Diceros bicornis minor: one gene and its partners. Each later gene encodes a partner of the first gene's protein in a complex. Links are inferred from orthologs where the notes say so. Each region holds a gene or a part of one and is shown in the gene's direction. Other genes may lie near its edges.

Region 1 (9,735 bases):
TTCATAGCCCACATGAAAACATTTAAGATCCCTCTTAGCAACTTTCGAGTATCTAATACACTATTGTTAACTATAATCACCGTGCTGTACTTTAGAGCCTCAGAATTTATTCATCTGATAACTGGAAGTTTGTACCCTTTGACCAACATCTCCTCCTTTCCCCCACCCCCAGACCCTGGCAACCACCATTTTTCTCTCTGTTTCTATGACTTTGGTTTTTTTAGATTCCACCTATAAGTAGATCATACAGTATTTGTATGTGTTTCTTTCATACAGAAAGACAAATCTTTCTCTGACTTATTTCACTTATGTTGTCACAAATGGCAGGATTTCCTTCTTTTTCATGGCTGAATAATATTCCACGGTATATATACACACCACAACTTCTTTATCCATTCGTCCACACGTATGTTGTTCCCACATCTTGGATATTGTGATTAATGTTGCAAGGAATATGCCTCCCTCCCCTCTTTAGAAGTCTACTTGTTCAATGGGCACCAGAGCAGTTGCTTGTGTGCTAATGTCTTAGAGGTCTCGTTATTTTATTTATAGTTCCTATCATTCAGAATAGAGCCTGGAGGGGCTAGGCCAGTGGACAGTTCCCCACACTCACTGTTCTCAGAAGTGCCCGGCCTCTGATTTCTAAGGCAACTTTTACTATTTAGAGTCCTTCTCTTCCAATGACTTCTCTTCCACACCCTTATGCAACAGACTTCTGGTGGGAAAGTCCTACACGCGTGCCGCCATTGTTACCCTGTCTCTTCTTCTGGAGGCCGCCCCAGCCTTCCCACCCACTTCAAAAGGTGGAAGTCATGGTTCAGAGCAGGTGTTGGCAAACTGTGGCCCAAAGGCCAAATCCCACCTCCCACCTGTTTTGGTACAGCCTGCAAGTTAAGAATGTTTTTTACATTTTTAAATGATTGCAAAAAATCAAAAGAATAATATATCATGACATATGAAAATTACATGAAGTTCAAATTTCATGGCTACAAATAAAGTTTTATTGGAACACAGCCATACCCTTGTTTAGTATTGACTATGGATGCTTTCCTGCTACAATTGCAGAGTTGAGTGGTTGCAAGAGAGACCATATGGCCTGCAAAGTCTGAAATATATATATACGGGCCCTTTACAGTGAAAGTTCACTGACCCTTGGTTTAGACCATGGACACTGAAGCCAGTCTGCCCAGGGTTTGAATTTAGTTCTGCCACTAACTATGTGGACAACATCTTAACATGTTCTGAGCCACAATTTCCACATTTGTAAGGTGGGGACAACAATAGTTCAATTTACCTCATTAGGTTGTGTGGGAATTAAACAAGTTGATTTGAATAGTGCCAGGCACAGTTAGTTATTTATTGTTACACTACAGCTGGTGACCATGGAAAAATCTGCCTGGTATTAAATAAAAATTCTAGATCAAATGTGTGTTTCTTAACTGACCTCAAAGTAATAGGAAGAAAAATCTGCTGACTATGAGTTATCTAAACCATATAGTAATAGTGTCACTGTTACGAAGCGGCTGCAGAATGAAACTTCACTCCTGTCCCAAATAAGGATCAAATTTAGGCATTTAATTTCCTGCTTTTCTACATATTCCAGGGCTCTTTAACAGAAGCTGCAGCTTCTCTCAGAGAAGCAATCAAGACGGCCAGATTTCGCAAAATAAACCTGGTAATCAACAGAAGAAGTGATGCCCTTGCCAGTTGTCAACACATCCATCTATTCTCTGAGGCAATGTAAGGGACAGTCACAATATTCACGTCAAACTAGCCTCCACATTCGTGTATGCTCATGTCTTCCTCCAAGGCCTTCACGCAGAACACGTGAATGCTGGTGCAGGCAGAAGCGTGTGTGTATTTGTGTGGCTGTTGGAGTCTCTGGCTGTGGAATATGCTTACTATTTCTTCTGAAAAGATATCAGAGGAAAAAGAAAAGGATGTTTCTGGGAATCATGCTGTTATTCCACCTACCCATCTGGTTGACTCTTTAATTTTAAGCCTCATTTTAATAAAAGACTTTGAATAGCTCTGCTTTTATGATTTAAATGGACTTTTAAATTGGGATTTAACCATCTGATATTACAAAGCGGGTGGACTTCAGTCTTCAGAAGAAAAAGCATAAACATACTGAAAGCTGTAATTAAAATTTTCCCTTTTCCTCCAACCCTCTTATCGCAATTATTGTTAGACTTGAAACATCCAGTGCCCAAATTCAAACCTCAAGTTCTGCAAAAAGTCTGCAATGCAAGGCGGGGTGAAGCAGCTGAAATCATTTTGGGAGAAACCCAGTTCCACTGGATGAGCATTAACACTCTGATGTGTATTAATTTAAACTAGACCAGTGGTTAGAGAACACTGGTCATCCAACTTCCTTGAACGCAGACGACCGCAGTGACTTTGTGAAGCCCCTGTTCCACAAGGCCAAACACTTCAGCTCCTCATGGTCCACAAGCAGGAGTTGCTGAGGAAGGTGTGAAGATGTGAGTCCTAAAGAAATATCAAAGGGAAACTTCAGTACAGAACAACTGGGATACAAAGCGTGAAGACCAAGTAGATATCACAGATGACCAAGAACATGGCAACTCTATTTACTAATTGCTCAAGCCCCAAATCTTAGGGTCATCCTTGACCTATCTTGTGTCTCATACCCAAGGGCAAGATGAAAGGTTTGTGGGGCCTGAAGTGTATGTCGTGAGTCTCTTTAAAAAAAAAAAAAAAAAAAACAAAGGCGTCCGGCAAGTTGGCATAGTGGTTAAGTTCGTGCATTCAGCTTCAGCAGCCTGGGATCTGCTGGTTCGGATCCCGGGCGCAGACCTACTCACTGCTCATCAAGCCATGCTGAAGCAGCATCCCACACAGAAGAACCTAGAAGGACCTACAACTAGGATATACAACTGCACTGGGACTTTGGTGAGAAAAAAGAAAAAGAGAAAGATTGGCAACAGATGTTAGCTCAGGGCCAATCTTCCTCAAAAAAAAAAAAAAAAACAAGCATAGTTTTTGGGCGAAAGTTTCCAAAAACATATGTTGATAAAAGTACACTGTGAGGTCTAGGACATCAGTAAATTCCCTTCTGCCTACACTGCCCTCCTGTTGGTTCTACCTTCAGTGTATGTCAAGAACACAACCTCTCTTCCAACTCCACCCTACCATCCTGGACCTGACTATCTTCATTTCCTGCCTGAACTACCGAAATAGCATTCCATCCATCTGAGATTCTTGTGTCTTCCCTTGTGTCTTTACAGTCTATTCATCACACAGCAGGCAAATGGGATCATGTCCTTGGTTGGCTCAAAACCCTGCAAACTTCTCTTGTCATGGTCATATACAAAGTCCTCAAATGCTTTATCCGGCCACCCTGTGCCTTCTGGACCAAGTTTCCTCCCACGCTCTTCCCCTTACTCATCTCTCACCACCCAGGATTCCTTGCTGTTTTTGGAACCTGCCAAAAACATGCCTCCAGGCTTTTGCATTTGCTGTTCCTGATGTCCAGAATACTTTCCCCTGAAATCCTCACTTCCTTCAGGTCTGTCCTTCAATGCTACTTTATCAGAGGCGACCTCCCAGACCACTCAGTAAACAGCAGCATCCCTGGGGCCTAGCCTCCTTGCTTTGGATTTTTCTTTCCTGGCTCCTCCTCATTTGGCATACATTTACTTGGCATTGTTTTCCTCTCCTCTTGTAGACTGGAAGCTTCACAAGGGTAGAAGCTGCTGTGCCCTCATCTGTAGAACAAAGCCTGACACCTACTAGGCACTTAATATTTGTGGAAAGAAGAAGAAATTACCTAACCTGGGAAATTAGGTTAATCACAATGTCACTGGCAGAAGAGAAATTATTTTTGGGGAGATGGAATTCCTTCTGCATGTTAAGTCTAAAGCGACAGATTTCTTAAATTATCATTGCACTTGTTAATAAATGCCTATTTGCTGATGGAGAAGAAAGTAAGCCCTAGGAGTTACCCACTGCGAACAAGACGTTTTTTTTGTTTTGTTTTTTTAATTTCACATCTGGATTTGCAAAAAGTATCAAAGTTAAAATGCACTAATTTTCCAATCAAGTTTCACTCTATTTTATACCTGTTTATTTTCCTTTCCTTTTATGTTCCAAATAGGCAGAAAACCTTCAGAGACTGCAAGGACCAAACAATTTATTTCAAGAGGCATTTTCTCAGACGGTGAACATTACTCTGAGGTTTTACTACTCTGAGGTTTTACTTCTCTGTGTGAGGTAGCAATCCCTCCATCTCACCCCGGACTCAGAGCCAATTTTCATTCTTGAGGCTTCTCCAGGAAAAAGTGAGTTCCGGGAGGGGACTTCTAGAGAGCGCCCACAGGAGCCCAGGGCAGTTCAAACGATCAGTCTCTGCGTTGGGCTCTTTGTCGAAACAATACAGTCAATGAACGAGAAAAGACGTGGATGTGCCAGGTCCCCTTCTCCGCAGGGATGCTGGTCTGTTGGAAGCGGGACGTCTTGGGGCGGACTTTTCCCTTGAGCATGAAGGTTTGAATTGCTTCAGCCAGGGACTCCTCCGGGTGTTTTGGGGATACAGGATTTCCAAGTTAGAATAATTTTTTCCCACAGAGGCTCTGCTAGGAAAGTATTTGATACTTCTGAGGAGGCCGTCTCCCCTGCATCAGTTCTCTATTTACCAGAAGACAAATGCGCCTGCTTTGAAGGCGATAAACGGTGGCCACAGGAGATCATGTCTGCCCCGGAGTCCGGCTTCCGGCTCTCACGGTGTCAGTTAAAGCTCTAGAGAGTGAACGCAGGAGTCAACTGCTCATTCATTCAGCAAATATTTACGGAGCGCCCGCTGAGTGCCAGGCACTGGGGGTGCCCCGGGGGCGAGAAGCAACTCATCAACTCATACTAGTTCCCACAGGAGCTGCGGCGCGCGCAGTGGGAGCCGACCCCGCACCCCGCGCCCACCCGCTGCCGGGCCGCCCAGCCTGGGTGTGCCCAGCGCCTCCGGCGCAGCCCTCGGGCCGCCCGCGGGGGGAACCCGCCCCACGGGATCCAGTCTCGGGGGTTTAATCCGGGTGGGGAAAAAGCAAAACACAAGGAAAAAACCGTACCCCAGTCTGCACTGGGAAGCTGCTCCTGGGAAGCGCGCAAGGCGGGGCCCGCGCCCGCCCGGGCCGGCGAGAGCGCGGAGCGCCGGAGCGGGCGGGAGGCCGGGCGCCCGCGGGTCGGGCGCGGAGGCGGCCCCGGCGGGCGGAGGGCGCGGCCGGCGGGAGGGGCCGGGGCGGCGCCGGGAGGGGCGCGCACAGCGGCGCGGCCGCCCGGCCCAGCAGGTGACCGCGGGCCGAGGCCGGGGCCGGAGCGGATCCCGTGCGGACGCGGGCGGCGCGGCGGGGCGCCGGCTCGCGGGGTCGGGCGAAGTTTGCCGGAACATGGCGGAGGAGCCCGGGGCGCGCAGGAGCGCGGCGCGGCGGCGGCCGGCGCCCCAGGAGCTGTAGCCGCTGCAGCCGCCGCCGCCGCGGGCTGAGGTGGCCGCCATGGCCCGCTGGATCCCGACCAAGAGGCAGAAGTACGGGGTTGGTGAGTGCTCGCCCCACCCCGCCCCCGACCCGGCCGCCGGGAACTTCGCGGGAGCCGCCCTGCCTTGCGCAAAGTTGGGCGGCGGACGCCGGGCCACTCGGCGCGCGCGCTGCCCGAGGCGGGGGTTCGGCTCCCGCTGCAGCAGTTCTGGGGGCGGGTGGGAGTCGGAGTCCTTTCCTGGAGCCCCGTGGGGGAAGTCATTCTGAGTTTGGGAAATCCGAGTGGCTAGAAGTGCAGCTGGGCTCCGGGACAGGTAATCCTCCCGAATCCAAAGCTCCAGCACTTTGCATAGGAGAAACGTCAAAAGCGACGGTGCTCGCCTCTTATGCATTTGGGGCACCCAACTCTGGTGCTCGCCTCCCTCCTCCCCATCCGTATGGTTTCATTCAGTAGTTTGTAGCCAGCCCAGGTCGGAGGAATGCCAGTGGTGTTCGCTGCCCCAGTGCTTTCTGCTTTCCCTCTTCTTAGGTTGTCTCTGAAGCCCCGAGTGAGGAGTTGGGGGTAGAAAGCCGCCCTCCGCCCCCTCGTTTCCTCCCAGGGCCTGGGATCCAGATAACAGTTGTAAACTGAATGGGAGACTAAAGTTGTGGTGGGGAGGTGATGGAAGAGACAGGAAGTGTGTGGCATGGGAACGAGGGTGGCTGCCCCTGGGGCCGATGGGGCAGACGCTCATCTCCTAACGGAGCGTATATGGAGAGGGGTGAGGACTGCCTTCTGAATCCCGAGTTTCGTCGTGGGATAAGACGAGGGCATTTTATTAAGAACACTGTGACAGATCCCGCGCCCGGCACTTCGCATTCGTAACAGCGGTGCTAGAGAGTCCCTGTCGTGCGGAGGGATTACAGTGCTGTTGGTTTGGCCCCGGAACGGTGGCTGTGTGGGGTTTTGACCCAGGTGAAAAGCCGTGGTCCTTCTTCCTACCAAGGAGTGAGGTTGCTGAAATGTGGGAACGCTGCTGTTCGCGGGGCGATTACAGTGGCAGTTCGACTTCGGAGCGATTCCCTGGTGTAAACGCAGTTGTGTGTGTTGAGAATTTTATCACTTCCTCTTAGGTTCATTCATTTGGCCTGTTTGTAACTTAATCTTTCACTTCCCTCCCTGCCCCGCCCCCATTTCTCCTCACCTCTCTGGTTACTAGGGAGGGAACCGTCCCAGCACCTGTTCTGAGCTTTCTGACGGCGAGGTCAGTTTCACGGATACTCAACGTCCCTGGTGCTCTTCAACTCTGTAGCCCCGAGTCAGTTAAAGAAACAAACTCTCTCATATTTACTATATTACTCTTAGATTGAGATCCTTTATATATATGTTTGTGTGTATGTAATTAGATATATAATTGCTTGTTTTCCCTCTATTCCAAAAACTTTTTTCCCCTTAAATTTCTGTTAGAATCCTTGCACTCTGGTATGGCTACAACTCAGAAACAGGTAGGTGGTGTTTCTCCTGCCCCAGACCACCCCGTCATGATTTGGTCATGACGCTTCAGACGGGGACTCCTACTCAGGTGCCAGTCAGTAAGTAGCCAGTGGTTTTGGAAGTGAAATGCTCTAAAATAGATGGACTCAATTTCTTTATTTTTGAATGTTATCTAGTATTTACTAAATTAAAGCGTGTTTAGCAACGCCTAATCATTAATTACTACTTTAAGAAAGTTATCAATTCTGATTTTGTTTAAGAGGATAAAAGCTATTTCCAAAACCAGTATGACTTCAGTGTAGGTGATGCAAACAGATCTCCCAAATGTGGTTTTTATTGCCATAGTCATAGAAGCAAGTATGATATGTTCTCTTTTTGATTTTTTTTTTTTTCCTGTTCTGGAGTCAGGTTACCATGTTTTTTATCTTCCATCAAGAAAAGTATTTGAATTGCATTTCCAGGGCATAGGTGCTAGCAAAATTGCCCCAGGATATAATTTTGGACACTTGTTTCATTAGACACAATATATTCTGCTTAATCTGGATTTGACAGAAGGACCACTGTTAGCACAGATTAGCTGATGAGATATATCTCCATTGTTTATTGCTAAAACACATTGTTGTTCATATCACCTCCCTGATTTGAAGCCTTCCTTGGCCTGCAGGGTAAGATGTAACTGAGCCCAACTTTCAAGATTCCCATAATCTGGTTCAAAGTGTCCTCACCAACCAACCTTATCTCCTGGCTTCTTTCATTTACCGCCCCCCCCCGCAGATACTGCTCTTCTAGCTCTTGTGCAATAGGCCACAGGCCTGGAGAGTCCCTCCTCTGGGACTTTGCTCCCTTGTTCTTGCTCCCTGTCAGAGTGCCCGCCCACCTCTGCATCCCACAGTCCAGCTCGGGACAGTCCTCGGGGCTCAGATCCACTGCCAGTGCCTCCTTCAGGTTTGGTGTTCACCAGACCTCCCCAGGCATTCCCGCCTCTTCCTCACAATGCCTGCAGTGTGCCTACCTTATTTCATTGCTTCTCCTCGTATCCTCGGGTTCAGCTTATGGTTTTGTATCCCTGTCACTCACCGGGTGTAGCAGGTATAGAGCCTGCCTTCAGTAGTCATTGCATGTCCTTGGAGTTGGGGTAGCATTCTAGCTCTGACCTAATTTCTGTGACGATTTAATGCAGGGTTATTTTGTTTGTTTGTTTTTTTGAGGAAGATTGGTCCTGAGCTAACATCTGTTGCTAATCGTCCTCTTTTTTTTTTTTTTTTTTCTCCCCAAAGCCCCAGTACACAGTTGTGTATCATAGTTGTAGAGTTGTAGCTCTTCTGCGTGGGACACCGCCTCAGCACGGCTGCCTCAGCGGTGCATAGGTCCACGCCCATGATCCCAGCCAGCGAACTCCGGGCCTCTGAAGCCGAGCGCGCCTACTTAAGCTAGCCACTGGGCCTGCGCCCATTTAATGCAGTTTTTTCCTTGTTAGATTTTAGTGTCTCATTCACTCCAGTATGCGTTTTATTTGGTTCCGTTAGGTGGACGAAGTGAGAGCCTTCAGTCTGTCTTTATCTTTGCGAGTAAAAAACTGAAATGTGCTGCTGAGAAAACAAGGAGACAGAACAGTCTGCCTCATTTAAATATGATTGGGAAAATTGGCTTGTTGGACTTTTGGGGGGATTGTTGTCGCTTCAGAATGTCTGCTGGACAGATTTTTGCTTCTGGGTGAAGGAAACCATGTGATGGCCATTTTTTTTAATGACTCACAGCTACTCTGTATGAGGGTAACGCTTTGATCTTGATTTGAACTGTGCACAGTGAAGCTGGTAAGTGTGCTGTCTTGTTTGATCTTGGTGCCACTGCTGGCTGTCCCCATATAGCGTAGATTGTCCTACAGGGACTGAAATGCAATCTCGGCTGGGCTTTCTTCCTTCTTAAACAGCACTGTTGGCTCCATCTCTAGCGTTAGGTGAGTCTGAATGACCTGTAGGAATGAGTGCTCCTCCCCACAGCCATAGAAAAATGTTTTTCTTTCTTTCTTCCTTTTTCTTTCTTATTTTCTTTTCCTTTATTCTTTCTTCCTCTTTTTCTGTTTGAGGATATGAGTATAAACATTTTAATTTAGATTTTAAACAAACATTACTGATAAATATCCAGATTAGTCTTCTGATTATTGAAACATTTATTTTAAGTCTGCTCCCAAACAAGCTATGTATAATCAAGAACAGACCCAGATTATGTTGATGATGGATTATTTGCAAAATAATTCATTATTGTTTGTTGGGATTTGTGATATGTATATTTATAATGTAATAAAAGGTAGTTGGGGGAATATTTGCTTTCACTGTTAGCTTTTCAGCTGTTCAGCTGTGCTAGGCCCAGTTAGTCTAAAAGCATTTAACTTGGTGGAGTAGATTCTCAAATGCTAGTGTAAAAACTGAAACCAGACTCTTGTAGCTCTTTGTTAATGCTCTCGTGTGTGCTGTGGGTTCCCGTCCAGTTCTTCCTTACCACAGGCACCATGTTCCATATCCTCCAGCTGGAGTGGCAGACCTGAGAGGGTCTCAGAGAGTAACTAGCCCAGTTCCTTTTTAAAGAGGAACCTGGTGCTTAAAGAGATGAAGTGAATTGTTTAACACAACTTCTTCTTACCTTTGTGGTTGCATGAACTCCTTAAGTGCATAAAGTCAAATACGAAGGATTGAAAATGAAACCATTTGTATTGAAATACAACTGTCAACATATTTTTCAAAATTTGTGATATTGTAATACATTTGCTTCCTTATT
Region 2 (9,410 bases), on another chromosome or scaffold:
GGATGTTAGCTCAGGGCTGATCTTCCTCACACACACACACAAAAAAATTATCTAATAAGTATCTTCCCCATTAGCCTCTTTGCTCATCAAGGACTGTGCTTTATTCATCTTTATATTCTCCCAGGCTAGGACTTTACCTAGTACATAGCTGGTACTCAGTGAAAGTGAATAAATGGGGGCCAGCCCAGTGGTGGTTAGGTTCGTGCACTCCACTTTGGCAGCCTGAGGTTTGCAGGTTCAGACCCCAGATGTGGACCTACACGCACTTATCAAGCCATGCTGTGGCAGGCGTCCCACATATAAAGTAGAGGAAGATGGGCATGGATGTTAGTCTGAGCCAATCTTTCTCAGCAAAAAGAGGAAGATAGGCAACAGATGTGAGCTCAGGGCTAATCTTCCTCCCCACCACCAAAAAAAAAAAGGGAATGAATGAATGGTGTGTGTTCTGTTCAGCAGCCTAGCTGTCCTTCCTGTACACCACAGGGCTTCTGTTTACCAAAAGCTTTCATTTGGAAAGGGAGGGAATCTTCAGTAGAAGTGTAACGAAGGTCCTAAATCAGCTCAGAAACATGTAGGAATCCCTGAGTTTGGGCTGTTATCAGTGGTGCTCCCTGGTGTCCAAAAATGGCAAGTACAGTCATCACTGGGAAGGTAGGGAATGAGGAGAGAGATGGTGGCCTCTAACAACTATTCCCAGGCTAGTTTCACAAACAGAATCATCTCCCGTTCCAGAATCAGTTGTAGAATCTTACTGCCAATGTTCATTCATTTAACATCTACTGAGTACCTGTTCTTAACGACCCAGCTCCTACTCTCAAAGAGCTCCGTTTTTAGGGGAAATATGTATATATGAAGAGTAATTAGTACTTGTTGACAATGTCTTGAGAGGAATTGGTACAGGGGCAGGTGAGGGAGCACAGAGGAGGGATAAGTAACTGCCTAAAGCAGAGAGGCTGTGCAGAGGCATATGGATCGGATGGGGTGAGACGGAGGGGTTCTGGAATTAGACTGCCTAGATTCACATCCTGGCTCTGCTGTATGACTCGGGGCAAGCTGAGTTGCTCCTAGAACACACCAGGGCTGAAGGAGAAATTTCCCAGAGGAGATTATGCCAGATGACCTGAGTGCCACCCAATTTGGAGAAGCTCAAAGATACAAAGGTGTCCTGGAAGCAAACAGGACAGCTATTGTTCTGCCTGCCTGGGAGGAGGCACCCTCCTGGAGGATGGGGCATGCCCTTGGCCCTCCTAATCTTATCCAGTTGGTTCCTCAGAGGGAATCAGGAACAATGAGCAGAGGACACGACTCTAGAACTTTGTTTCATTTGCCACTTCCCCTGTTCACTCTTTCTGCTATCTCCTGTTTTGCCTATCACTTTCCCATGTCACAAAATGGGACATCGGGCTTGTCTTTGGGGGTAGCAACGAAGGGGAGACTCCTACTTCTACTCTTCAGGCAGGCTGAGAGAAGAGACCAGGGAATCAAGAGGAGCCCGAAGAAGGCTGAGTCTTTGGAGCCACATCAGAGACAAAGGGAAACTCAGATGTAGAGTTAACTTGAAGAGGTTAGGACTGGGACTGAGCAGAAGACCCTTGTGGGCCACTGGTGAACTCCAGGAGCTGGAGCTCGGTGAGGGCTGGGCTGGGGAAACCCGTTTGGAAGACACCAAGGCAGGAGTGAGTTCAGTTCAGGGCCTTTCTCCTCCTCCTTGTCTCCACCCTGCTCTTTTAGGGGAACTGAGTCAGCTTTAGCATTTTCACCTTGAGAAAGAGGGAAGAATTGGTGAGGGGGAAAAACCTGAGAACGTCATGGGTGTATGAAGAAATTAACTAATGTTTATGTGTTGTAGTCTGGGCAACCTGCTAGCCACTCCATTTATTATCTCATTTAATCCTCATGATCCCACAGAGCACAAAGTACTGTCATTTCTGTTTTAAAATGAAACTAAATGGCTCTGTTATATGCTCTTGTAGCAGTCTGTACTTTTGTATGATTACCTGTTTAAGAGCTATTTCCAGGGGCTGGCCCCACGGTGTAGCGGTTAAGATTGCGCGTTCCGCTTCAGCGGCCTGGGTTCACAGGTTCGGATCCCACTCACCAGCCTCGCCGTGGCGGCAACCCACATATAAAGTAGAGGAAGTTGGCACAGATGTTAGCTCAGAGCTAATCTTCCTCAAGCAAAAAAGGAGGAAGACTGGCAACAGATGTTAGCTCAGAGCTAATCTTCCTCAGCAAAAAAAAAAACAAAAAAAAAGATTTATCTCCCTTGCTATTTACATCTGGATAGAGACTTGTCTATGTTTTCACCACTGCATTAATGGCATATGACACTGTACCTGGCCCAGAGAAGGTTTTCACTAAGTATATGTTCAAGGAATGAATGAGAGAAGTCATGTAACTTGTAATTTGTCAAAGACCACAGTGTAAGTGGTACAACCAGGATTTGAATCCTGGACTGTTTGGCTCCAGAAACTGTCTGTGGTATCTCTATTCTACCCCCACCAAGTGCTTCATATGTTGTCTCACTTATAAATGTTCTGGCTCGGTGTCCTTGTCTCTCTGCTGCTTGTGAACACAAATGTACACCATGTACCAAGAACTCACCTATGCAGGGAAAGCAAGTGAGAGAGTAGGAAGAAGAAAAGCCCTCTTCCTACCCTCTTCAGCTCAGCATCCTCCTCCTCCAAGAAGCCTTTGCAGACAGACCCACCAGTCCTCCTGACTCTCTCTCCTCTGGCCTTACTGGCCCTTCCTACATCTGTGCCACAAAAGTGACTCCAAGTCACCTGGCCTCTGGTGGTTCTACACATGAGTGCTTTATTAATGCAATTTAATTCCACAGATGTATACTGAAGGCAACTGTGTGCTCAGGCCTGCTTGTGCCAGGACCAGTGGGTGGACACAGAGATGAATCAGACACAACCTCAAAGGACTTACCGTCAGTGGGGGAGACAGACATTAGGCACAGATACAATTAACTAGAACACAAAGCAAGATGACCTAAATGGTATGAAAGAACGATGAGCAGTGTGCTACCTGCTAAAACCTTAACTACTTAATTATTATTCTGAAGAATGTATCATAGAAGGTTAGAGCTCAAAGCTATCATCTGGTTCAACTCCTTGTTTTCCACTGGAGGAGTCTGAGACCCAGAGAAGGGTGAGGCCTAGCCTAAAGTCTCACTAGCCAGTCTGGCTGAGCCAAGACTAGACTTCAGATCTTTTGAAGCCCAGCCCAGGGCTATTTCCCCCTCCGGTAGCTTCACATGCAGAAGTCCCATATCCCACTAGACCATGAGATCCTCAAGGCCAAGTCAGGATCTCCCACTAAGCAAACCGAACCAGGGCCACAACCAGGGCTCAGGAAATGCAGTCTGACCCCAGGCTGCCAATCCAGGTTTTTTGTCTACTGTACCTAATGTGTATCCTACTATGCCCCTAAAATTGATTTTAAAATATTTTTTGCAGGAAATTTTTTTTTTAATGAACTTTTTATCTAGAACACTAGTATATAAATCACATAAAAGCAAACCAACTCTGGCTGAAGGGGAAGAAGGCCACAGCGCCGCTATTTTCCTGTCCTCAAGTCCTGGGAAGGGAGCTCTAGGAACACAGCTCAAAAACCTTTGTTCTGAGACACAATTTTTAACGGCTTCATAGAAGCCGTAGTAGCATGTGGTCCTTCTCTAAACCATGTCTTTTACGGAAACTCACAATTCTTTCTTCATCATCAAATGCCGAGCACTAGCCATGTACTCCCAGTAGGGTATGAAGGGAAATGAGGTTTTCCCCTTGCCTTGCTTGTTTTCCTCTTCTCCATAGGGTGGAGTTTGTCCCAAGTGGCAAGGGAGGAAAGAGACCCAAACTCTGCCTCGGGGGGTGGGGGGTCGGGGGGGGGGGTGGTCAGATGAAGTCTTTCCAGAAGGATCATGGAGGATGAATTCATCTACTGAGCTATTTACCAGCCTGAATCTGATAGAAGCTCTAACTTTGCTGTCCCATACCATACCCACCAGCCACATGTACTATTGAGCAATTGAAATGTCTAGCCAAAATTCAGACGTACTTTAAGTGTAGAACACACACCAGATTTCAAAGACTTAGTACACAAAAAGAATGTAAAATGTCTAATTCATTTTTATAATCAATAATTTTTATATTGATTACATGTTGAATGATAATATTTTGGATATGTTGTGCTAAGTAAAATATATTATTAAAATTAATTTTACCTGTTTCTTTTTACTTTTTAAAAAATGTCACCAGTAGAAAATGTGAAGTTACATACGTGGCTCACATTATATATTTGTTGGACAGCACTGGGAGAGACTATCAAGGGCATGGCAGAGGTAGTGTGTGTTGTTGGAAGGAGGGATCGTGGCAGCCAGGCAGGGAGTAGTCCATTAGGGCCAGATTGTGAAAGACTGAGTCGATTTCGTGTGGCAGTCAATACAGGAAAGAAGTCAGGCAGAGAGAATGAAATCCGCAAAGACCCAAAGATGTGGGCAGGCACCTTGGGTTTAGGGAACTCATTCTTACAATTTTGTTTTGTTTTGTTTTTCTTTAAGGTATTTGTTGAGTATTTACTTTGAGCCAGGCATTGACAGCAGGTCTTTCACATCCATTCTCATGTTATCTGCACAACTATAAGATTAAGGAGAGGTTATTCTATTTTACCAAAGACAGAACTGAGGCTCAAAAGGGTTAAACTACTTATTCTCAGAGGTGTTCCTCCTCTTTATTTGGAAAGCCTCTTGGAGACAGGGAGCCTGTCTTTAAACGCTTCTCCGTTTTCCTCCACTGCACTTAGCACGGAGCCCTGCACGTGATTGGCGCTTAGAAAGTTTGTGTTGAACCGACGTCTCAAGTCAGAGCTCCACGCGCAAGTCCTGGGAGCAGAAGCACCAGAGGGCGCCCACGAGTCCGCCCAACCGCCGGTCCCCAGGGCCCCGGGACGATCTCAGGCCTGGGTGCGGCCCTTCAGTCTCAAGCAGTTGCGCGCCCCGGCGAGAAGAGGAGGCAAGGGGAGCCCCACGTTCTCCGTCCGCCCCGGCCCCTCCCCAGAGCCCAAGCGCGCGGAGCCGCCGGGTGCGGAACGACGACACGACATCCTGTTTTTTGGGGCCCGCGGCTCCGCCTGCGCCTCTGCTGATCTCGTCTTCCCCCGGGTGCTGACGCCAGCTCCCCTTCCCCCAGTCTCTGCACCCTCCCCAGGGGTCTGGGGCCTTCCCACTGCTGAATCACCACCACCCTGCATTCCCCCGGGGCTCGGGGCAGGGGTGGGGACTGCCCCAGCCTGATCCATTCTGGCCAGCCCCCAGCCTTGGCCATCGCTCTATCCCTGGGCTTAACTGAAGGCACTAGGCCTAGGGGCGCCTGTTCTCAGCATCTTCCCGCGGGGGTTAGTGGGCGCGAGATACGGGGAGGGGGACAAAAGCCTAGCGCCTCTACTGGGGTGGGGGTGACCAGGAGGAGAGAAGGAGGCTTGACCTCATGGGCCTCACAGGCAGAAGGCTGGGGTGGGGAGCCCGGCACTGGGCGGTGGGCGAGGCTGGTGGGGGGAGACCGGGGTGGGGGGACCGGCCCGCGGACTTCCTGGTCGCGCCCCGCCCCGGCCCGCCCCCGTGCCCCGCCCCGGCCGCCGGCCCGCCCCCCCCACTTCCTCCGGCCTCCCGCTCTCACTTCCTTCTCGAGCGCCGAGCCGCTGCCGCCGCCCCCAGCTCCCCCGCGGCGGGGAGGGCACCAGGTGAGGCCCGGCGCGGGCCGGCGGGCTGGGGGGTCCGGGGGAGGGGAGCCCGGCCGGCCCGGGACTGGGCGCGGGCGCGGACCCGGGAAGTTTGCTGGCGGGAGGCCGCGGGCGGGAGCGTCTCGGCTCCCTCCAAGTTGGGCGGGCGCGGCCGGCCGGGCGGGGCGGGGACCCGGCCACTGAGAGCGGGGCGGCTCGGTGAGGGTGGGTTCCTGTACCCAGGGCGGCTGTACCGGCTCCCGGGAGCCGCGAGGGACCCCTGAGGTCTGAGGGCTTCCCAGTCCGAGAGAAAAGCCTCTGAAGGAGAAGAGCTCAGAGCTGGCAGATGGGCCTCCGAGGTGGGGTGCCCTCGGAAGTTGGGGAGGGTGTACCGAAGTGTGTGAGAGGAGGGGGCCTCTGGGCCGGAGAAGGCGCCCCTCTGCTCTGGCAGTTGTGACACTTGTGGGGTTGAGAGGGAGCGGCGTCTGTAGCCTCTGAAGCCCTGGACCTCGGAGAAAGCTTCTTCCCTGGAAGACCGACCCGCGCTAGCAGGCTGCAGCGGAGGGTCCTCTGCGCTCAGGAGGGCGGGGGGCGCCCTGCTGACCCTAGTCTTTCTCTCTGTATGTCTGTTTTTCTGAGGCCCTACCTCTCCATCCCTGGAACCAAGCTACAGGTATTTAGTGAGCAAACATCCGCTGTGCCTAGCTGACGGGTGCCTGGCCTTGCTTTTTTAGGGGTAAACTGAGGAGGGAAAGGGCCCGGTCTTGTCCTGTGACTAGAAGTAGAAGGACTCTCATTCAGAGGTACTGATAGTCCCTGACAAGATGGCATCGCTGAGAGCAGGACTATTTTCAGGAGATGGAGAGAACAGGGCTTCTGGGAGGCAGCTGAGGCCCTGGCCTTGGGAAATGATTGGGAGCCGTCTCCTAGTCTTTTATGCCCCGCTCCCTTGTTAGTCCCTGAATTCTATACATTCTCATTCTGTCTGACTCCATTCCTTCTTCAGACTCTACCCACAAACCCTCCGTCTCCCTCTTTCTCACATCTTCTTCGGTTTTTTTCCCCCAAACACACCGTCATACCTGGGCCCTGACCTCTCACCTACCCTGCCCCTCTGTCCATCTCTGTCCCCTGCAGCTGCCCCCTCCCTTCCTTGCCCAGCTTCTGGCTCCCACACACATATCCACCCTCTTGCTTCTTCCATCTCCCCTCATTCCTCTCTGTCTCCTTCTCTTTCAGCCACTTATCTCCAGCTTGGGGGTCAGGATCTGCTGTAGAAGACTTGGTGAGTTTGAGAGCCCTTTCAAACCTCCCTAGCTCAGAGAGACAGGCTGCAACTTCCCAGTGATAGAGATGATTAAAGGGCTGGAAAACCTCTCTCTATGTGTATGCCTGTGCAAGTGTCTGTGTCTACATCTTTATCTCTTGGAGACAAAATAACTGCCCTCAGCCTTGAGAGGGCTCAGAGCAGGGGAAGCCAGCAGAATGAAGGGAACCTGCAGTGGGTGAGGTTGTGGTTAGGCAGGAGGAAGCAGTCTGTAGCAGTCAGGGTAGAGTGACACAGGAATAAGACTGGTGAGAGAGGCCGTGGGAAATCAAAATCACCCAGCCCCTGGGGTGCTTGATCAAGAGGCCGGGCCTGGAGGCTGGGGGACAGCCTGAATGTGCCTGACTCCAGTGCTTACTGGTTCCAGCACTGTCTGGTGGGGAGAATGGGACTAGGTCAGCTAGATGTGATGGAAGGAAGTGGGGGGAGCAAAGGCAGGATTCTGGAGGGAAGACTATAGCTGGCCTAACTTCAGTTTTAACTGTTTTAGTTCCAATTCAGGAAAAGAAGAGGGGTGGGAGTCAAAGGCGTCTGACCCTTCTTCCTGGCTGCCTTCCGGGGCCTGCCCAGGCTGGGTACCCACGTGTCCTGGGCTGCATCATGGCCTTGGTGACCAGGAAGCCATCTGGAGTCTGCTGACCCCTCTGCCTCAGGCATCCTTAATATTCCCCCTCGTACCTAGGACCATACTCCCTCTCTTACAAGAATTTCTCCTGAGTCTAACTTCAGCCCACACTGACTCTGTAAGCTCTTGTTGTCCCCATTCTAGAGCTCCTTCCTCAAGCCTTTGGGATGCATGCTGAGAGGTCCTGCTTCTCTCCACCTTCTTCAGTCTACTCTTCATTTCTCTCCATTAGAAAAAAAGAGAAGTGGAGGGGAGCAAGTGCTACTTTTTTGGGATTCCCAAGCACAGCTAGATTTAAGGGCTATCCACGATCCCCATTCTATCCTCTTTCCTCTCACAGTTGTCCCTCTCCCATGAATTGTCCCTTCTTCCAGTCCTGTCCTTCCACCCACCTGTCTCTCCTACTCTTGTTTCTGGAAGGTGTAGGGGGCTGGGCCCCAGGAGGAAATCCCAGGGACCTGCAAAAAATCCCAGCTCAAGAAAGGATGTGCATGCAAGGCACTTTCCCAGCATTAAGGCTCAGTAAAAAACCACCCAGGAGTCCTGGCTCCCCGCCTGCCAAACCAGTACTTATTTTAGGATTCTACATAACTGAGCAGTCCACAGGGCTCTGAGGGTGAACATAGGATGGATGAGACGGGTTCTCCCAGGCAAGATCTGGCCCCACTGGAGGTTTGAGCTAATTGCAAGAAAGTTATTGCTGGGGACCGGCCCGGTGGCACAAGCAGATAAGTGTGCGTGCACTCTGCTGCGGCAGCCCGGGGTTCATGGGTTCGGATCCCGGGCGTGCACCGACACACCACTTGTCACGCCATGCTGTGGTGGCGTCCCATATAAAGTAGAGGAAGATGGGCACGGATGTTAGCTCAGGGCCAATCTTCCTTGGCAAAAAAAAAAAAAAAAAAGGATCAGCATCGGATGTTAGCTCAGGGCTGATCTCCCTCACAAAAAAAAACAAAACAAAACAAAAAAGTCATTGCTGGAAAACTATGACCAGGGTGGGAGGGATCTAAATGGGAAAATATCATGTGGTGGGGGTAGGGTGGGCTGCAACCTAGGAGACTACCCGTTGAGCTCTTGACTAATGAAATACGGTCAAGGTCATGGCATGAAAAGAAGTGGCTGATATAAGATTGTCACAGATCCTGGCTGGGAATCTAGGATGTGGAGAGTTGTCTCTGGATGTTATGTCAGGTGAGGTGGCTGGTGTGAACTTCTCGGGGGTCATGAGCAGGAAGATATGAGAGGTTGTGGCTAGAGTCAGACAGTTGGGAAGATATTAGAATGGTGGTAGCTGGGGAACTGGGCAGGAAATGGGGGCCCGGCCCCACACTGAAGACCCCTCCCTCCATACGCAGTGTAGACCCATTAATGGTGAGGCTTGTAGGGGTCTATGAGTAGGGAAAGCAAAGACAAAACCTGGGCTACCTCCTTAGAACAGCTCGGTTTTCCTGTCCAGGGTCCAGCTTCCTCTTTTGTCCTCATCTCATGGGGGGAGGGTATCTCCCCAGGAGCTAGAGGCTAGAGGAGGAGCTCCTCAGCTGGGACAGGGCCGGTGTGGCTGGCTGTCCGGTAGTGGTAGTTCTAAATCATAGACGCTGCAGTATGGGCTAGGCACGAGAGCCTGGGAACTTAAAAGCAAAAAGGGCTCAGATGTCAACCTGACTCCTTTGGCCCATTTCCTGAAGGGATAAACCATGGTAAAGTCATCCTGAATGAGGTCAGAGAGATGAT
Region 3 (9,631 bases), on another chromosome or scaffold:
ATGAACACACACATACACACAGGCGCACACGCTCACAGAGGCAAACCACAAAAGAAGAAGATCACTTTGGCTTCAGACTTCTTATCAGCTTGAAGATGATAAGCCATGGTTTTCAGCGTTCTGATGGCTACCAGTCAAATGTAACTGCAAAAAAAGATATTTTCAGACATGCAGATTCTTAGAAAAGTTTACCTCTCATTCGTTACTTTCTGAAAAAAAAAGTATTTGAGTACATATTTCAGGGAAATAAGGAGTCTTAGCAGAAGACAAGGTCTTCAAGAAACAGTGGAAATAACTAGAGGGTAATGAGAAGAAATCCTAGGAAAACACTAGCAGTAGGCCACACTGGGACAGAACATCTGAGGCTCTGTGGAGATTGCCTTCAAGAGTAAAGTGGATTCCATTCTTAAGAATAGGGAAGACTTTAATAAGCTTTGGCAATTTAAAACTCCAAGGAGGAAAAAAATCACAGAGAAAGTCATTGTGCCTCCTTGAAGTAAATTAAAATATACCCAAATTTTGGACAACTGACAGAATGTCAGAAGACAGAGTCTGTTTAATCTTGACCCTTGTTGCATTCTTCTTCAGGGGTGACAGGCTTAATGACATAGGATTATATTCCTTCTCTTCAGGTCCACGCATGCTATTTGGCTCAGCTGTGAGTAATTACTGTAAATTGTTTTCCAATTTTTAGAATCAACCAATAGAGAATATATAAAGAAACTTTAATTATAGTGTCAGGACAGAAGGCAGCAGAATGAAAACGGAATAAACCTTGAAAATGTAAAAGTAATAAGTTTGGAAATATCGTGTCCTAATCACACACATCTACCCCTCCTCTAGCTCCAAACCCCCTGAAAAGAAAGAAAAGATATAAAAAGAGGGGTTGTGGCCACTCCAGAAAAAAACGGAAAGAAGGAAGAAGGGAAGGAAGAAAAGAGAGAGAGAGAGAGAGAAAACAAAGGAAGGAGGGAAAGAAGGAAAAAAGGAAGGAAGGAAGGAGGGAAGGAGGGAGGAAAGGAAGGAAGAGAGGGAGGGAGAGAGGAAGAAAGGAAGGAAGGAAGAAGGAAAAAGAAAGAAAAGCAGGCCACCAGAAGTTTTGGAGAGCAGACTGGATCAGATATAGAGAAAATTAAAATGGGAGGAAACCACAGCCCAACACGCAAACAGAATATTTCTATGACAGAGGTAGAAGCAATTTGGGTCAAGGGCGCTCCGAGTCCAGTGTAAACACACATGGAGGCAGGAGGATGCCCAAGGGCACTCAGGGTGATTAACTGTGGGGCTACTCTGCTCCCTCCATCACCACTTTGCTAAGCGGCTCGTGGCCTTAGCCTCGTATCCAGGTGGAGCAGTGAATGTGAGCACTGGGGCTGAAGAGGCTGGGCTCCATTTAATCATTTAAATCTCCTAGAGAGGGTGCGACCACACACAGACATAAACTCCCAGGACCACCACCGGGCAGCCCGTCTCCCTCTTCCCCAGGATCATCAGTTGCAAGTTACAGATAACAGAAACAGCAGTGACAGGAGAGCAGAGAATCACATACGCCAAGTTAAGCACCCAGCCAAGGTGACATCAGTCTTCATTGAGTAACTATAACCTAAGGAAATAGAGTTCATAGGGCAAATAAAAGAAGAATTTGAAAGAAGTATCATTAATATCCTCACAGTAAATAAGAGAGGATATAATATCCATAACGTGAGAACAGCTGATGTCTTAGGTCAGGTTCCCCAGGGAACAGACTCTGAAACTGAGGTCTGCATGCAGGGTTGACCCCAGTGGCTCTGGAGTGCAGGTGTCTGTCTGCTGCCCGGACTTTGTTACCTCTGGTGTCGCAGCCTCCTGGAGCTGAGGCCATTTTCTCTGCCTCCAAGAGCTGTTCGTAGACTGGAGTCAAGCCAACATGAGCCTGATTCTAAGACAGGAAAAGAGAATAGATTCTTCAAGCTATAGATCAAGGAAGTTGAGGCTGATTGGAGTAGAATTCTGAAGCAAATTACTAAATGCATTACTAAATGCACAACGTCCATTTGAAGTCCAATAAGTTTTTTTTAATGAAGTAGAAATCAATATTTGTGCGCACTTAGAAAGAGTTGATCAACATGAGTCATCATTGATGAAAAATATAACAGGCCGTTTTTGCAGTTTGGGGTTTCATGGTGATATTCTGATAAACTTCCAGTTACCCCTCCTATCTTGGAGTTCTGCATACACAAGGAAGAATAAAGATATGGGAAACACAGGATCAAGGTACTAAAATATGGGAAATTTCCCCAAACACACCTCTCCAGCTGTCAACAATGCAAAGCCGTCTTGTAAGCACGGTTGGAGAGAGCAGGTTAGATTTGAGGGTCCACTGAGTTTTGTTCTCTAGCCAACTATCCCTACCCTACTTCCTCTTCTCCATCCTGAAACTGAGATGGGTGGTCCTGCAGAGGAGATCCTGAGTCCACTTCCCTACCACCCGAGATGTAGATGAGGCTGGCCCATCTGCAGAGTCTAAGCCCTGCCCAGGTGGACCCACTGCAAGTGCTACTGAAGGGCTGCACTTGGATTCCGGTCCTTACCCTAAAATGGCTGTCCTCTCTACTGCAGTGTAACTTAACAATTGAATGGTCCAGGTTTGACCAGAAGCTTAAATAACATCAGAGCGATGATACAGGCTCTCTCCCTCCCCTATGGGGAGAAACTGATATATGGGAAAAGGGAGGGTGTTGCTCTTTTTTTGGACTCTGTTAACATGACTTGTTGATCAGAGGACTGTTATGGATAATAATAGCTAAGCTAACGGTTATTGAGTGCTTCTATGTGCCAGGCCCTTTTCTAAGAACTTTGCATGTATTAACTCATTTAATCCTCACTCAACCCTCCCAGGTAGGTGTGGTTTTAATCCCACGAGTCAAGTCACTTGCATAGGGTAATGCACCTAGTAAATGCCAATGCTGGGATTTATACTCAACAACCAAGTCTAGAGATGGAGACTTTGTACATGACACCACCACTCTACTGTGCCCACTGCAGACCACCAGCTAAGCCTAGGGTAGAGGTGGATTTCTCTAAGGCATTTGACATCTCTAAGATATCCTTATGAATATAATAGAAAAATAAGGCTTGACAATTGCATAGTTAAGAGGGTTATTAGTAACTGAATGAACCAGTGAACCCAAAGTATGCTGAGCCCCACCACGGCAGAGGGAGCCCCTTAGTGGGGTGTCATCCAGGACTCTAGTGTTCTAATCTACTCTGTGGACATGGGGAGACACTGGATGCCTGAATCAAATCCAAAGAGACTTAGAGAAGGTGGACCCAGGGCTTCTGTCCCAAAGACGAACCCCATAAGCATGGATATGGCCTAACAGTAACATAGCAAGGAATTTCCAGTTTTCCCCTTGCACTGGGATCAACAGTGAGATGTATTTGAAAAATAACTGACAAGAGCTCAGGCTGTATTAATTGTTTTTAATGGTTAACTAGTCAATTAATTTTATGACAACAAATTTTTTTTTAAAGGGCAGAGACAGGTGTCCTTCAAGGGGAAAATGGCGAAGATTAGAGAGATTTGAAACCATCTCACATGAAGAGGAGTTAGAGTAACTGAGAATGTTTAATCTTCAGACGAGAATGTTTAGGTAGAATGCAATGGCTGTCTTCAAAGACCTGAGAGGTTATCTCTTGGAGGAAGGATGTGACTTACTCCATGTTGACTGCAGAGGGCAGAGCTGGGACCAAAGGTTACAGGGAGGTGGATTTGTCTAATTGCTGTTCAAGGAGAGGACACAGAGTTCCCTCTTTACTCTTGGGACAGTTATGACAGCTAACATTTACTGAGTGCTCATGATGTCTGCACTAATGTTAAGGTCTTTGTATGCCTTAGCTAAAACGTTGTGGGTCAAATTCATACTTATCATTACAAGTATCTCATAGCATCCATTTACTGACTGCTTATTAAATTACCTCATTTGATAGTTGCCCTGTTGTCTGTTATTATTATATCATTACAGTTTTACAGATGAGGAAATAGAGAAAAGTTACTTTCCTGGAATCATCCTGCTTTAACTTATCAGCTTATAACGATCTGGACCTAAGTATTCCTGCTACTAATACTGCCTCTGGAAGTTATGCATATAATAAGGGGTCAGATTGGGGCTGTTCATTAGAAATATAATGTGAGCCACTAATGAGATTACTAAAGTAATCTTACTTTTTCTAGTAGCCACATTAAAAATGAAAAAGAAATCAGTGAACTCATTTTAAATTGTATATATATATAATATATATATTTATATCTTAACCCAATACATTAACCCAATTGACTCATTACGTCTAAGCTACTATCATTTCTTGAAATGATGTAATCAACATTAAAATTAACACGCTCTTACATCATTTTCCACATTAAGCCCCGTGTCTGTTTTACACTTACAGAACATCTCAGGACTAGCCACGTTTCAAGCGTTCAATAGCTGCCTGGAGCTCTTGGCTGCTAATGGACAGCCAGAACAGGGTTAAAATTGAAATCTCCTCTGGGGGGTGTTGAAACTTAAAGAGAAGCTTTGCCTTCCACCTTAGATTCGAATGCTTCCCTGCTCCCAGCTTACCTTCTTTCCCAGTCTGAGGGAAATGCATAGCGACTGCCTTTGCCTTTTCTGGGAGAGCCAATGTAGATATTTATGAATTTGGAGAGGACAGGTGTTTCTCCTGCAACCTTCCAACAACTGTCATTTCCCTCCTAGCAGCTAGGCCGGGAGTTAGCGTGCTTGATTTCTGCTTGGAAAGTGACTGAAGTAGGTTGCATGAATTAAGTGATGTACCCTAAATACCAAGTTGGGGGTAGAACATCTTGTTTTATGTAAAGTTATGTAAAATTAGGGAGTCCTTGGCTTAATTGATTAGAAATAAATCCTGTAGTCGGTAAATGCATAAGTGACTGTGAGCGGAGGAAGCATTCTGTTGTCATTTTTGCCACGCTGTCCAAAGGTAGAGGCACAGCGTCAAAACAAATACACAGCCTCTTAAAGTAGCCTTGAAACAGCCCACGGAAGTTTCCCCCCAAAATTCCAAACCAGTTGCCGAAAATGAAAGCATCTAAAAAGATGCCTCGCGCTCTCGGCCTCCCGGAGGTGGCGCTATGAGGGTGACGGAGTTAATTAGTGCCTGCAAAACGCTCGTGTGAGCTCATCTGAGAAGTCATGATCTGCACACATATTATTTATAGCAGATCTGAGGCGTGCACGGTGTTTGACATTTTCTTCTTTTTCAGTAGGGGGACTTCAAAAAGTCGTGGGTACCCCCCAGGCAAAGTACAGTGGGCAGGCACCAGGGCGCGGGCGGGAGGCGAACGCTCAACCACGCGTGTCCGGGCGCAGGTGCCGGGGGCGGTGGCGGCCACTCCGCAGCGCCGGCTCGGGAGGAGAGTTCGCGGCTGATCTCGGGATGGCTTGCAGATGCAAAATGTGTCTCTGGCCAGCAGGAGGAAGGAAGAGGAAGTGAAAGCAGCGGCAGCCGGCGGCGCAGCAGCCGGCCGACCCGGAGTGTAAGTGCGTGTGTTCGGGCGAGCGAGAGCGGGCGAAGATGGGCACGGGATAGAGGCAGAGCCACCCACACCGCCGCGGCCCCGAGCTAGGCGACAGAATCTCTGGCCCCCTTTCAAAGGTCGCTGGTCGTCAGAGCCCTGATCGCTGGGAACCCTCGCCGCCGCCGCCGCCGCCGTCCTGAGACCCCGGGCAGGTTCGTAAAGTTTCCTGGGCTGGCGCCGCGCCCCGACTCGCTGACCTCAGCGCGGCCGGGGAGGAAGCTGGGGTTGGGGCAAGGAGGAGGCGTCCTGCTCTGGGGGACGCTGGGCGCCGTGGAGACACTTTTGTTTCCTCCCTGGGGGCGCCGCGGCTCGGGCGGAGGTGGCCGCGGCGCCCTGCGGGATGAAGGCTGCGGGCGCACCAGGGCGCTCCGCAGTTGGGGGAAGTCTGGGCAGAGGGGGGCGGCTGGAGTGGGAGTAGAAGAGGAGGGAGGGGGCGCTGGGGATGGAGCGCGGGGCCCGGGAAGCCGCGGAGATGTTTCGGCCAAGGCCGGCTGGAGGGGGCTGCCGGAGGGCTGCGCAGTCAGCGCTGGGGGACTGTGGACAGAGAGAGTGTGGGATTGCGGGCTTGCAGAACTGAGAGGCTGCGCTGGAGAAAGGATTGGCGGCTCGGACTCCCGGCTTTTCTCTGGCACTCGCAGATGGGAGGGAATCCCCCGGCGACCGCGCTCCTTGGAGGGGGCGATGATGGGCTAGAGGGATGGAGGGCCCGGAGGGACGGAATGGGATGGTTAGGGCAGCTGGGAGTCCCGGGGGCCACTGTTAGTAAATACCCGCCTCCCGGGGACATTTCAGGGTCCCCGCCGGGACCGGGAAAGACGGCAGGGGCTTCGATGGGAGATCCTGGCATCGAGGAGGGGGCGCACTGGGCGCGCCTTCAGAGAAGGGGGGCAGCGGAGCTCTGGGGGCCCTAGAATCCGAGCGGAGAGGGGCGGCCGAGATCGATAGAGTTGCTTTGAGGAAGAGGAAATACAGAACTCAGCCGGCCCGGGGGTGCGCGCGTGTGTTTGGGGTTGGGAAGTCCGCGTTGTGTCGCGGGCGCGCGCGAGGGCGGCGAGAGTGAGCGTGTGTGTGTGTGTGTGTGTGTGTGTGTGTGTGTATGTATGGGTGATCGCAAGGGTCTCCGGAGCTGGGGACTCCCGCCGAGTGACCCTCTCCCGCCTGGGGGCAGTTTGAAGTTGGCAGTTCAGGGCAGGGGTGGTTGGCGGCTGGACCTGTGTTGACCTGAAGCCTCAGGACTTGGACCCCTGGAGGGACTCGGCCTCTGGACAGCTCCTGTGACTCACCGAGCATATTTTGTGATGCCCTGTGCCCCAGACCATGGGCCTGCTAACACTGCTGGCCATAAATGATGCGAATCTAATTCGTTTTGTTTAAGATTTCAGAGAACCTAAGACAAGGTTTCTGCCTCCAGAGGCAGAGGCCGCGGGCTTCCCGTTTGGCCCTGCCAGTGACTTGCGGGTGGGGTGGGTGGGGCTGTGGAAGAATTTTTGAGGTTTTTTTTGGTCCATAAAATAAAAGTAATTAATGACCTAGACCTGTATATCAACTCTTTGAGGGTAACTTTGGGAACTAGAGGGCTCTAACCCCTCTCAGGTTTACTTTTACATGGAAAAGGCTGGAAGCAGCTGTTATTAAGGGCCTCCTCTGGTCATGGTTTTTCGTGTTATCTCACCTCCATACCTGCTTTCCAAGGTCGTTTCAAGGATCATTGTCCCCCAGTTTTCAAAACTGGGAACTATAAGTTAGAAGGCCAGATGTCCTGCTGTCACATAGCAGACTTTTTCTTATAGCTGACCTTCTGAACCTCTGCTCTTTTCTGTGGTACATTTCCTCTCTCTTGAGGGCTGTGGTTAAATGTGCATGTTGCCTTCTTTTCTACTACATTTATTACTCATTTTTTTTTTTAATTAGATGGACTGGTTGTCTTCTTGGGAAATTGTGAGGGAATGACCTGGAATGTTGGAACTCTGCAGGGCAGATGATGTCAGGAGGGAAGGGAACTGGCTCAGAAGCTTGGTAGGTGTCAGGGAGGGGCACGCTGGGAGGCAGGCCCAGACCTGGGTCTGATGGAACTCAGGACTTGGAGCAGTCATTGGGCTATAGAACCCGTGGTCCTATTGATGGCCATATCCACACCACACCCCTCCAACCTTCCCTTGTCTCATCTCTCTGCCCTTCTTAACTGCAGCCACTCTGACTACCTTACATTTTTCTTTTTCACCAAGTTCTCTCCCCAGGGCCTTTGCACATGTTATTCCTTTTGCACAAGGAGATTATCCCCACATGTCCAGACGGCTCACACCCTTGCTTCCTTCAGGTCTCTGTTCAGTTGTCTTCTTACAGAGGGCCTTCCCTGATTACCTCGTATAAATTTTCCGTCTTAGCACTAATTAACCCCTGGCATTATATATTCGTTTATTTGATTATTCTCTGTCTCCCCCGTTAGAATGGAAGTTCCATGAGGGCAGGAACCTTGTCTTGTTTAGAGGTCCAGAATCTAAACTGATTCCCAGCATAGCAGGTGCTCAATAAATACTTGTTGACTGACTGAAGAAGAGGTGCTTATTATGGGAGAGGCTCACCAAGGAAATATACCAGGAAAATGTTGCAGCATCAGCAGCAATTAAGAACCCCAGGTAACGGGCTTTTACTTTTTCTCCTCTGTCTTCTCCCCCATGCCCAGCTGCCCATCTTGCAGACCCTTTTCTGCCTTCAGGAGACTCTTCCTGTAGAAGTTCAGACCGAAGAAAGGAACAGAGAAGTGATTCCTTGGGAGAGTGGAGAACCATTACACTTTGTTAATTACGCATACCCTCTCCAGATCTGGTGTTTGTTTCATCACTCTTCTTAGAGAAAGTCTTTTCTCTAAGCGCGTGTTGCTTTAGCCAAAAAAATGCTCCCCTAGGAAGAAGGGCATATTGTGAGGGGAGTGAAACCAGAGACTTTCATGTACCCTACCCTGCTCTCCCAGCAGATGGAAGTGAAGGCAGAGGAGGAGAGATTGTAAGGGAGGAAGAAGCTGGGTGGCAGAGGCAGGGGAAAAAGAAGATAAGAAATGCCTAGGAGAAGACAAATGAAAGAGAGAAAACAGGTGAGGGGTTTCTACAGTGCTGCTCAATCAAAAGCGTTTATTAAATTATGGTATTGAGATAGGACAAAGCTGAGTGTTTTAAAGTAATTTACTCCCCTATGGGTGTTTGGTGTGAATGGGTGGGGAGAGGTGGAGGAAGGGAGTGCTTTGAAGCCCTTGCAGAGAGGATGTGGCTGGGGGTGTGCCAAGGGGCTCCGCTGAGCGCACACTTAGCTTACATTATCATCTTTCTTAACTCTAAAGGTTTAGAGGTAATCATTCCTATGGAGGACATTTCCTGTCCGGATCTAAGACAGTGGGTGCCCTTAAGGTTTGTAACTGAAGCCTGCAACCACTTTTTAATGCCTGAAACCATCCAAGTGGATAGTTTGGTTTATAAGACATTCATTCTGTTGAATTTGGAAAAGGTGGGGGATTGCTAAACCCTCTCTGCATCACAAAGCCTCAAGTGTTTGTTGCTAATTACGAAACTCCAGTTCTGCTTCCTTCTAGTCAACTAGTCTAGTGTTTTTGAAGCTTAGGGTTGCAATCCAGGAGCGGGTCATATCAATTTATTGAGTCCAGACCAGCAGTTTAAAACATGAAACAGAAAAGAGTACAATGAGAATAGAGTGTTTTACAAAACAGATACCGAATCTTAATGCCAAATGTATTGCTTAATGTGGGTCGTGATTAAAAAAAAAATCTGTTTTGATCATTCTGGAGGCCCTAGGAATCTACGTTTTTAACCAATTTACCAGAGATTCTGATGAAAGTGGTTCATAGGGCCGTACTTTAAGAAATATTTGGTGCCTCCTCCCTAACAAAATGGTATTGCTTTAATCTCCTGTAAGAGATGCTATTTCCAAATTTTGAATAGGATGTAGTAAAAGCGTCAGCCGTTGACTTAACTTTGAGAAGGCTACTGTTTGTAGAACTTGATGGTATGCTTGGCCCGGATGCTGCCATCTTGACGAAACTGG

The links.
Region 2: the proteins of DOCK5 (region 1) and RHOG are in contact, whole or in part, in a cryo-EM structure (PDB 8XM7), measured with the Homo sapiens proteins. The link is inferred for Diceros bicornis minor from reciprocal best matches to the Homo sapiens genes DOCK5 and RHOG. Residues at the interface, in NP_079216.4 of Homo sapiens: Val232, Phe345, Asn393, His394, Lys395, Gly396, Trp400; in NP_001656.2 of Homo sapiens: Ala121, Pro123, Leu126, Arg127, Arg128, Lys130.
Region 3: the proteins of DOCK5 (region 1) and ELMO1 are in contact, whole or in part, in a cryo-EM structure (PDB 8JHK), measured with the Homo sapiens proteins. The link is inferred for Diceros bicornis minor from reciprocal best matches to the Homo sapiens genes DOCK5 and ELMO1. Residues at the interface, in NP_079216.4 of Homo sapiens: Met1, Ala2, Arg3, Trp4, Val14, Ala15, Ile16, Tyr17, Asn18, Ser22, Gln23, Gln30, Ile31, Gly32, Asp33, Thr34, Glu39, Tyr41, Gly43, Trp44, Arg46, Tyr48, Lys56, Ile58, Pro60, Glu61, Thr62, Tyr63, His65, Leu66; in NP_001193409.1 of Homo sapiens: Ile7, Val8, Lys9, Ala11, Tyr18, Pro19, Leu21, Glu23, Glu36, Asp39, Gly40, Ser42, Asn71, Gly72, Gln392, Asp393, Leu400, Glu401, Lys468, Arg531, Glu535, Leu536, Lys539, Leu547, Gln550, Gln551, Asn554, Arg555, Asn582, Thr688.

Annotation. Positions count from the first base shown.
Region 1 is NC_080750.1:68,671,850-68,681,584, reverse strand, and holds the start of DOCK5 (dedicator of cytokinesis protein 5), read left to right. Parts: upstream 1-5,329; 5' UTR 5,330-5,504; coding exon 5,505-5,547; intron 5,548-9,735. UniProt on the Homo sapiens protein: Guanine nucleotide exchange factor (GEF) for Rho and Rac. GEF proteins activate small GTPases by exchanging bound GDP for free GTP. Along with DOCK1, mediates CRK/CRKL regulation of epithelial and endothelial cell spreading and migration on type IV collagen.
Region 2 is NC_080746.1:58,925,887-58,935,296, reverse strand, and holds the start of RHOG (rho-related GTP-binding protein RhoG), read left to right. Parts: upstream 1-5,629; 5' UTR 5,630-5,745; intron 5,746-6,963; 5' UTR 6,964-7,009; intron 7,010-9,410.
Region 3 is NC_080742.1:60,601,714-60,611,344, reverse strand, and holds the start of ELMO1 (engulfment and cell motility protein 1), read left to right. Parts: upstream 1-5,305; 5' UTR 5,306-5,536; exon of another isoform or gene 5,537-5,730; intron 5,731-9,631. UniProt on the Homo sapiens protein: Involved in cytoskeletal rearrangements required for phagocytosis of apoptotic cells and cell motility. Acts in association with DOCK1 and CRK. Was initially proposed to be required in complex with DOCK1 to activate Rac Rho small GTPases.